Linked DNA regions of Saccharomyces cerevisiae S288C. Changing the gene in region 1 together with any one later gene gives a genetic interaction. Each region holds a gene or a part of one and is shown on either strand. Other genes may lie near its edges.

Region 1 (4,516 bases):
GACCAAAATAAATTTTTTTTTGGGAAAATCCTTTAAGATATTTGCAATCGGCTGAATTTTTCTATTCGCACTTGAAGTCATGATAGTGGAAAAGAAATTACCAGAGTATTGTTTCAAAAAAATTGGACCCGGAGGAAAATTGGCGCAAATATATTGTTTCAAAAGAGTAAAAGTTTGGATGGGTGAATTAGAAACATAAAAGAAATCAACGTCTGCGACATCATGTAAAGTTTTGTACCAAAGAGGAACACCATCTATTACCCACGATTGAACATCATGGATGAAAACATTACGAAACATCGATCTCCTGTCACCCGTAACGCCAGTATGCTTGATGGTGTCGTCAATATCACTGATTAAACCAATACCGTAGGGCGAGACATAATTGGCCGGAAATGTTTCAGATATGGGATCTGCATGGCCTTCTATAGGGGTATCTAATGTAATATTAATCTTGGACGGTAAAAAATCTGTTTCTGCCTTGATTAGTAAATTACCATAAGAGTCCGTGGTACCAAAAAAGGAAGCCGTATCCCCTCTGAGCTTATCTTTGGGCAATAGGTCAACCACCACTGGAGTATTAGGAACTTTTTTGGACAGGAATCCTTGAATTCTCTCATTCAGAACATCTTCCTCTTGGATGCCCATATGTGAATACCTATTTTCGCTCTTTGAAGACAAAGAACTTTCTATACTTGATTGGGAGTCGTTTAAATCTCCAGAATCCTCTTCGAGATGAGGGGGAACAACAGGTGCAACATCGGCCTCCGCCGTTCCAGTTCTAAGATATTGTTTACAAAGAGAAAGCAACCACCTATTTCTCCTGCTTGTAGGATTTCCTGGATAAGAAACAGCACATCTGACAGTAGTTTCAAAATCTTTCCGAGGCGCACTCAAACCGTCAGGGTCAACCAAATTAGTTGTGGTATACGTTGGAAAATATGTTATCGTGGTATTATGTGGCAATTCCATAGGCAAGTCATTATAACCTTCGAAGGAATTCGTAGTGCTCCTGATGCCATCCATTGTCTTTTGAGAAATGGATGACGTCAGGTTAGGAATATAAACATCCTTTGTGGTTCTTATGAGATTCATAAACCGTTGTTTCTTACCCATTCGTGGGTCTCCAGAAGTAGGACCGCTAGTAGCAGCAGTAGAGGAAGAGCTTTCATCGTAACCTTGACTATTCATCTTTTTATTCCTTCTCCAAAGCAATTTTTTCCCCCTTTGACGGAACTTATAGCCAAGTTTCAATGTCCTTGTCTGTGTTAATGGTCCCAAGAAAAGACGGCGATTACTAGACAAACTCTTTATAGCCAACAAACCGACAGAGCTAGAGAAACATATGACACTGTTTATTGAAAGCCTTGTGCAACCCACTATTTGCGATATATATGCCTTAATGATGCTAAATTTTTGCCCTGGATCACGAATAGTATAACAGCTTCGTATACTTTATGTCTCGTGGGCATAAAAAGCCAAGAAAAGATACACAAACCAATCACAATGAACAAGCTAACCGTAAAGGCGTTGCCACCCTATTCTAATGCTTTATCTGTCCGAGAATTGTTGGTAACCTCGTTTGGAAAGTTAGACCGCGCCCTCATCATCATTTGCGCGACCACGTGACCCGCTGCGGCTGCGGTTTGCGCGAAGGTTACAATATCTTCCTACTCGATGACTTTTAACCTTTGGATCAAGAGCACAACGTTCTGCCTGAACTCTTATGCTCATTTTGTGCATACAAGTTGCCTTTTTGTGCCATATTAGGATATATTGCCTTCTGAATAAAACTATTCAATTCTCATCACTTCCGCAGTTAGAGAACGCTTTTATGGCATATTGTTACAAATCATCGCTAAAAAAGATATAAACAGTGACTAATTAGCGTCAGCGCAATTTTTTTGGAGAAGTTATAGAATCAAACAGAGAAAGGGATTGAAACCTCAAATTTTCATCAGATGGTGCACATTACTCTGGGTCAAGCGATATGGGTGTCAGTTAAGCCGATAATCAAGATTTATTTGATTATAGGAGTCGGCTTTCTGATGGCTAAAATGGGAATTCTTACGGTTGAAGCAACAAGAATTATTTCTGATATCGTGCTAACAGTTTTACTACCCTCTCTGTCATTCAACAAGATTGTCGCTAATATTGAAGATAAAGACATCAAATCTGTGGGAATTATCTGTCTGTCTGCCCTCCTAATATTTGGTTCTGGGTTCTTTTTTGCATACGTTGTTAGGCTATTCCTGCCTGTTCCTAAACAATGGTACGGTGGTATTCTTGCCGGTGGTATGTTTCCAAATATAAGTGATTTACCAATTGCATATTTACAATCTATGGACCAAGGGCTTGTATTTTCGGAAGAAGAAGGTAACAAAGGTGTGGCTAACGTCATTATATTTCTGACAATGTTTCTAATTTGCATTTTCAATTTGGGGGGGTTTCGACTGATTGAAAGCGATTTCGAGTACAACGACGATGAAAGCGCCGTTAGGGTTTCAGAAACGACAAAGACACAGCCCGCAGTAAGTGCAAACACAACTAATACAGATACTAGCGAGCGTTTCTTCTCAAACGAACAACAGCTTTTCAACAATAAGTACACCGCTCGCGATAGTCTCACTGAAGCTATAGGTACAAAGGGTGAAAACGCAGACGTACCACCAATTTCAAGGAGATCAACAAATAGTATAGCTCCCCTGTCACTACCAGACACTTCTTCGAATTCAAAGATTACAAAACCAGTTCAGGTGAAGGCAAGAAATACTATTGCGTGCACTCAAAGCGAAGAGTCACAGGCAACTCGTGGTTCAAATCCATTAGATAGCCAATCATCTGCTTCAACAATACATTCTTATAATACGTCAGAGAGTTATGAGAGTAGCATAGATACTATGAGAGCACGTAGAACCGCGAGCCAGCCGAGAGCTTACAATACTACCACACTCCTAGAAGAGAACTGTTTAGATGAAAAATGCCCAAAAAATATGTCTATGGCGGCATTGGAACCTATCCGCTCCATTGATATGCGTGCATTACCTTCTCAAAATATACACCATCTTATCAGAGAGTACTCCAACGTTGACCAGTATGGTCATCAAAGGAGGAATTCCAGTTTACGCGGCGCTGATATGAATGATGTGCATTCAATTAGCTCAAATTCCACTTTACAGACTATAAAAACTGCTAACCTAACCAGGATCTTAACATCAGATGCCACTGTAAGTAAAAAGGATATTGAAACATCCGGCGAATCATTACCACAGTGGATGAGAAAATTTTCATTAACTCCATTACTTGTGTTTTTCCTAAAGAATTGTTTGAGACCGTGCTCTATGGCCGTGATCATCGCCCTAACTGTTGCATTTATCCCATGGGTCAAGGCTTTGTTCGTGACTACCGCTAATACTCCTCACATAAGCCAAGCTCCTGACAATGCACCACCATTAAGCTTTTTCATGGATTTTACAGGTTATGTCGGTGCCGCATGTGTTCCATTTGGGTTGATATTATTAGGAGCAACTTTAGGAAGATTAAAGATTGGCAACCTTTATCCTGGATTTTGGAAAGCCGCTGTGACACTCGTCATTTTGAGACAATGTGTCATGCCAATTTTTGGTGTCCTATGGTGTGATCGGTTAGTGAAAGCTGGATGGGTTAATTGGCAAGATGATAGAATGCTACTATTTGTTATAGCAATCAGCTGGAACTTGCCAACGATGACTACCCTTATATATTTCACCGCCAGTTTTACGCCGCCAGAAACAACTGCGCCAATCCAAATGGAGTGTGTTTCATTTTTCTTAATGCTGCAATACCCGCTAATGGTTGTTAGCTTGCCATTTTTAGTGTCTTACTTTCTGAAAGTACAGATGAACCTTTAGTTTTAATCCATTAAACAAAAAATTATTACCACTCCTAATCACTGTTTTAGGGTGGGTTAAAATTAACATTCTCCATTTTTATATAGAACTAATAAAAAACACCTACTTATAGACACGACCAAACTTTCCACAACCTTTCATCAGAGAGAAATGTTGATCAAGTTGAATGCGTGAAAGTAGCAATTCGAAACAACAACTACCTGTCATTCTGCATAGTAGTAGTTACGAAAGGCACAGAAAATAACAAAAAAAAAAAAAAAGTCAATTTTCTACGGTCTCCATCCGTACCTCTTTAAATCCGTACATTATTGTTTTGCTTAATTTCAATATTTCGGAAAAAGCGAGCGCCCTGGTAAAATGTGGTTCAAGCCTGCGAGCCTTTGCTTGGTAACTCACCAAATGCAATTCAGTCACGTTCCACACAGTTTGGGTTTCCAGCCTGGCTTTAGGGAAGAATGGGCTCACTAGGCGTTCATAATACGCGGAGGGGGAAATACCAAATGCTATTGATTATGGTTAAAATATGTGTTATTTGACTTTGTATATACAAACAGAAGAGAAACCAACACACTAAAGACTAGACACATAACTGACCAATGTCCTCTGTCCAATCCAAGATCTTATCC
Region 2 (3,210 bases), on another chromosome or scaffold:
GTATGGTTGAACCTTCTCGCTATTTGAGGGTCATCACTCAAAAGCGACCACTTCTTCGTGTTTAAATCCAGTTTCCACAACTCATTGGTAGCAATCAACTCATATCCGCTCTGAGGAGACACTGTGAGACCACCAAATATATATAAACAGCCATCTAAATAACATAAGGAATGGAATAGCCTCTCCTTGAGCGGAGATTCAAGGGATTTACCTTTCTTAATGTCCGTTCTAATCTCGTTTGTGTCATTATCTGCTTTGGCGCTAGAACTCTCTGCCTTTAATAATTCCTCTGTCCTTTGGTCAAAGGAGGTCTTGACTCTGTACCAGGTTCTAGACATCAAGTCTAAGAAAAACGTCTCCTTACTTATCCACTCGTTTAAATTCCTAAAAGAACTACCGTTGTTTTTTTCCTTTGCAAAAAAGAGAATAAGCTCCTTTTGTAATTGCATAGAATTTACAACTGGCAGGTTCAACGGGATGGTTAGACCACCATGTACAAATATATTAGACCTTGTTAGCGTCACCGCTGAACCTGTTCTATAGTCCAGCGTTAACCTTTTCCTGGCGCATTCATCAAACTCGTTGGAATCGGAAGTCAGTGGTAATGGCGGAAGCTTCAAAGGGTAGCAGAAGCAAGTGGATGGTTGTAATAAAGGCATACTACGCTAAAGCAGGTGCAGATTGTTACTTGTCCTTTGGTTTGCACGCGCGCTATGTTATCTTATATATATAGTAAAACAGAAAAGTCTCTAAAGCGCCTTCACCATGTAATGTTTGCAAGTGTGGCTATAGGCACAGGAAGGAGAAGAGTTCTCAAACAATTGTGGTAAACGGACGCTGTGAACTTGAAATAGACTTTGCCAGACTCTGCGCTACCAATTCATCAGAAAGCCTAATCTTGCTTTGAACTTCTCTTACACTCCACGGAGTCTGCCTTAGCCACACGCCAGCCCCTGTGAGCGTCCTCTTTTTTTTTTTTTTCAGAACTTTCTGCCGTGGCTCGCGAGATAGGCAATTCTATGTCCATGATATTGGGTTTTATACATATGTAACTAGTGTTATAAAATAGTTGACAACCAGGCCATGCCAAAAAGACAGAGTGCCAGAGGGTATATCTCGATAATGGTCTTGCTCTTGGTAACCCACGAAACGGCGGCCACAGACCACATCAGGCACAGCGCCATGACCACCAGTTTCACGAGCGACAGGACCCTCACAATCCAGCGATTTTGCTTTCCAATATGGTAGGCCAATGGAAGTAGTATCTGCGAGACTAAGGCATTCAGCACTTGTGGGAATAAGCAATACCCGGAAATGGAGATGTACGAAATCAGCGACACCCTCTGGTGTGGCTTGGTGAGTCTCAGATGCAATGCCATCACCAGCAAAATGAACCAACTAGACACAAATAGGCTCGAGAACAGCGACCGCGCATGCGATACAAATAGAGAATACAATATGATAAACGCAAGGGGCGCCCACAGGTCGCAATTGGCTGAAATGTCGTTATCAGCCGCCCCTATCCCGTCATCAGAGGGGCTAAAGAATGAGGGGAAATGCGGGTATACCACTTGTTTCAGTCTGGAATTAATCTCCACCACATCTCGCTTTAGTGTTTGCAGCACAGTCTCGTCGAGCGTCCCTCTGCTGCCTGAATTCTGCATAGTTCCGCCTATGTTGTCAGCAACACCCCCGGAAGCAGCCAAAGGTGCATCTGGTTCTATGAAGTCGGGCTCAATCGTAGTGTCTTCTCTTCCGTATGACATTTTGCCTGCCCTCTTGTGACATATCTTTCTACAAATATTGCTAAAACAGCTTCATTTGCTATTGTAAAAGGGGACGAAAAATCACTGTGAGAAAATCATCACTCCGGGTAATCCAATTTTCATGAAAAAAGACGCGAGGAAAGTCAGAAAAGTCGTGCAAAACAGCCTGAGAGATCGGGTCGCTTAAACATTTTGACACGAAACTTATAATGAAATAAAAAGCTATACTTGGTGAAACTGCAATCTTAATAGTATCCCTCCGCACAAAAATACACACGCATAAGGATGGCCTCATTTGCTACTAAGTTTGTCATTGCTTGCTTCCTGTTCTTCTCGGCGTCCGCCCATAATGTCCTTCTTCCAGCTTATGGCCGTAGATGCTTCTTCGAAGACTTGAGTAAGGGTGACGAGCTCTCCATTTCGTTCCAGTTCGGTGATAGAAACCCTCAATCCAGTAGCCAGCTGACTGGTGACTTTATCATCTACGGGCCGGAAAGACATGAAGTTTTGAAAACGGTTAGGGACACGTCGCACGGTGAAATCACATTGTCTGCTCCATACAAGGGACATTTCCAATACTGTTTCTTGAACGAGAACACCGGTATCGAGACAAAAGACGTGACTTTCAACATTCATGGGGTGGTATATGTGGATTTGGACGACCCAAACACCAATACATTGGATAGTGCTGTCAGAAAGTTGTCCAAATTAACCAGGGAAGTCAAGGACGAACAAAGTTATATTGTTATTAGAGAAAGGACGCATAGAAATACTGCAGAGTCGACCAACGATCGTGTTAAATGGTGGTCCATCTTCCAATTGGGCGTCGTTATTGCAAACTCTCTTTTCCAGATATACTACTTGAGAAGATTCTTTGAGGTCACATCTCTAGTCTAAGTAAAGCAGGAAAATGTAGTTCATATCTATTTACTTTTGCCTACATACGATTACATACACGATTGGATAACCTGAAGTCGCGAATAATTCTCGGTTTCATACTTTTTACCTTGATCCTTCCACTGTTTTTCCCTGTGCCAATTACATGTAAATAAATATATACATATATATGGTCCAGGCGCGCCATAAAACAAATACAGGTTGTAGCGAATCAAAAAATGGGAAATACATACGAAAAACTTGAAAGAAACAAGTACCACAGGACATGCTGTGGTCCGTTTTTCCCCAGAGCACTTTTATGTGGGACTCTTAGAAGGGAAATAGCTCTGTTCATATAGAACAAAAAAAGAATAGCCCTGTAGGGGGCTCGAACCCCTAACCTTATGATTAAGAGTCATACGCGCTACCGATTGCGCCAACAAGGCTAATTCGTTGGAAAACGTCCCCATTTCAGGGAAACATAGCTCACGATGTTAATAACTGATTTGTAGCCGAGCCACATTGTATCAACGCGTGATTAACACATGTTTGGAATATACTGTTGGAA
Region 3 (2,814 bases), on another chromosome or scaffold:
AGGAAACAAAACTATTAATTTTTGTAACCGATTTGAACTCACATTAGGGATCCACGTCACGCCGTGCGCGGAACGGTAGGATGAAAAAGGATAAACAGAACTTACATACAAAAAACTCAAATCAACGCAACAGGTATGTAGTGAAGTAAAACTAGACAAAGAGAAGGATACTTTAGTTAGATATAAGAATAGTATGAAAAGATTAAAAATTAAAATATTAGAAGAACAAATTATAATAAAAGAAAGCGGGGTGAATGATAATAATAATAATAATAATAATAATATTAGTTAGAAATAAGACTTCTTCATAATCGTTAATGAAGAAGTGCATATGATTTGTTATTTTTTTTCTGGTATTTTTTTCATTTTTTTCGGGTTTTCCTTGGGTATAATTTTTTGTTTCTTCCGAAAGACGGAAAGGGATGAGGGAAAACGGAGTTTTCTTATTTGCTTTCTTTTTTCCCTAATTTATTCACGGTGTCCATTTATTATATTCTTAATTGAAAGTGGCGTAAAATTTAAGTTGGTGCGCTTCAATTAGACTTGGGAAATGGTTGGAACACCGACTTGGCCAGTTCTTCTTCTCTTGGAGAAAGAACCAGAACCAAAGGCACCATTGGAGATCATGTTGAAAACAGACATCAGGGTCTTAGCCAAAAAGATGGCACAAGAGAAGTAGAGGAATGCAACAGCGGCTTGAGCTTGTCTACATCTGGTACCGGAACCTTGAGTAATCTTGTTACTGTCAACGTATGAGCTGTTGTTACATGAGTGAGCTCTGATACCAACGGCCAACACTGTACCGGCAGTGAAAGTGAACACAAAGTTCAAAAAGTCCAGTGTGAACAAAACTAGTGGCCATGCCAATGGTTCAATGAAGTTGGCAAAGACACCGTACAATGAATCGGTGAATATACCATATGCACAAGCAAACATACAGTAGTTTACTCTGGAGCTGTGCCTATGTTGGGTGTTTAACAACGAACTGATTAAACCGATGGAAATAACCAAAAATAGGAAATTTATTATACGTAGAATGTTATCAGCTAGGGCTAGCATTATGGGATTATATTGTTATTAGGTATGCTTTGAGAAGAAAAGTTTTTTTAACCGATTTTTCTTATTGAAGATGTTTTTTAAAGAAATGTTTATTTATCCTTTTAAAAAAGCGCGATGAGCAGAAAAATTAAAAATGTAAAACCTTTTCAATTGTATTTTTTCTTGATCAATTGCGAACAAAATAGTGGTATAAGTTAAATTTTCTTAAAAAAAAAAAAGGAGACGTAGAAGAAGAAAGAAAAAAGTATCTTTTAATTACAAAACAAAGACTCTTTTATAAAGGAAAATCTGACAGAAGATTGGGGCCAAGGAATTTATAGGGGTATGATTTTTCTGTATACATATATGAGGAAGAGGGGAGGGAAATGGAAGAAGAAGTAGGAAGAAAAAAAAATCAAACCAATTCTAGTCAATTCCGTTAAGGCAGCAAGCTGCCCATAAGTTTCTGTGAGGGGGCGATCACTTTTATGTTTTGGGCATTTTAATTATGACGCAGAGGTCCGCGGACAAGGGGTTTGCGATGGACCTTTTAAAGCAACCTTGGGCCTACCTCAGGGAAATGCCCCTACCAACGTCACTAACGGGCGTGTGCCAAATGGGCCGATGCTCAGATGCGGCCGTTAAAATGGGGGTGGTGTTTCGGGGCCCCGTCCGTATGTGGAAATACCAAAACAGTAGGGACATGCATCCTTACATCATCCGGTCAATCATCAGGGTAATACATATTTTATACTTAATCCGAGATTCGGACCCCTAGTGACAGAATTAACCGCATAGAACCTCTCAAGCCCGTTTACAAACAAAAGCCGCATTGCATTCTCCTTCATGGGATGGTTTATCGAAATAGTTGGAATTCATTCAACAAGGATGTGATGCAACTACACAACAGTATGCTGAATGAAGGCCTATGGAAATAGCCGGGAGGAGGCAACAGTTCCTTTGTATCGGCAATCGGGCTCCGCGAGAAAGCCGCGTATTCCTCCTGGCTGCTTCCTTTCTCACCGCTGCCGAAAAGCTTAATTATCTGTATAGTTTGTTCCGATGAGCGAAACGGCGTTAACATCAAGGGTTAAGGTAGGGAAAGTGGGAATGACGAGAATTTTTTGCTACGCTTTTTTAGCAATTTAGTTTTGGAAATATTGTGGCTGCTCTTAATTGTCCGCCTAAGGAAAAGACATGAGCAACTATGCAACATAGGACAAAAGAAAGAAGAAAAAAGGAGATCTCCGGAGAGGCAGGCGGCTTTGCCGTTGATTGTAATCTCTTTGTTCAGGAAATTGATATAGTTAATTGTATATGGGATTAGCAGTTCTATTTCATGGATTGCAAATCAAACGTGTGGCTCCTCGAGCGGTAGAGACATCTTTCCCGCTGATGTGTGCAACTTCATATATGTTCATATATGAAATTACGTTTGATTGGGCAAACATATTCCTGCTTTAATAAATATACTCAATTGTTGCAGTTCGTGAAAATTGTAACACCACCTTGAAGTGCATTTCACGAGTGTGTAACTGGGCATTTTATGAAACTTCTTGAGTACTACTTGTGTAAAGAAAGCGAGGTTAGCAGTTTAGTTAGTTGGCTCTGCATCGCTTTTAACGAGGATTACTTCTCACTCTTAAATCGCTAGTTGGCTTTTTTTAGCACTCGACACGCATATCCCAGTTTTGGTTTTCATTTCTCTTGAAATAATAATGATCAGGGAAAAAAAGGTTGCAATACTTATACATCTGAACAGCAAAGTTAGGTAAA

What was found.
Region 2: mutations in YNL095C (region 1) and EMP24 together harm fitness more than expected from each alone (negative genetic interaction), as found in Saccharomyces cerevisiae (2 studies listed by BioGRID).
Region 3: mutations in YNL095C (region 1) and NCE102 together harm fitness more than expected from each alone (negative genetic interaction), as found in Saccharomyces cerevisiae (2 studies listed by BioGRID).

Annotation. Positions count from the first base shown.
Region 1 is NC_001146.8:444,286-448,801, reverse strand, and holds YNL095C (uncharacterized protein), read left to right. Parts: upstream 1-1,961; coding exon 1,962-3,890; downstream 3,891-4,516. Other genes in the region: phosphatidate phosphatase APP1, read right to left, coding at 1-1,191; 40S ribosomal protein eS7 RPS7B, read left to right, coding at 4,487-4,516.
Region 2 is NC_001139.9:122,147-125,356, reverse strand, and holds EMP24 (Emp24p), read left to right. Parts: upstream 1-2,051; coding exon 2,052-2,663; downstream 2,664-3,210. Other genes in the region: MDS3 (Mds3p), read right to left, coding at 1-659; YIP4 (Yip4p), read right to left, coding at 1,059-1,766. UniProt on the Saccharomyces cerevisiae protein: Constituent of COPII-coated endoplasmic reticulum-derived transport vesicles. Required for efficient transport of a subset of secretory proteins to the Golgi.
Region 3 is NC_001148.4:828,163-830,976, reverse strand, and holds NCE102 (Nce102p), read right to left. Parts: upstream 1,060-2,814; coding exon 538-1,059; downstream 1-537. UniProt on the Saccharomyces cerevisiae protein: Involved in membrane organization. Required for the formation of membrane compartments of CAN1 (MCCs), localization of CAN1 at the MCCs and subsequent invagination of the plasma membrane at the MCCs sites.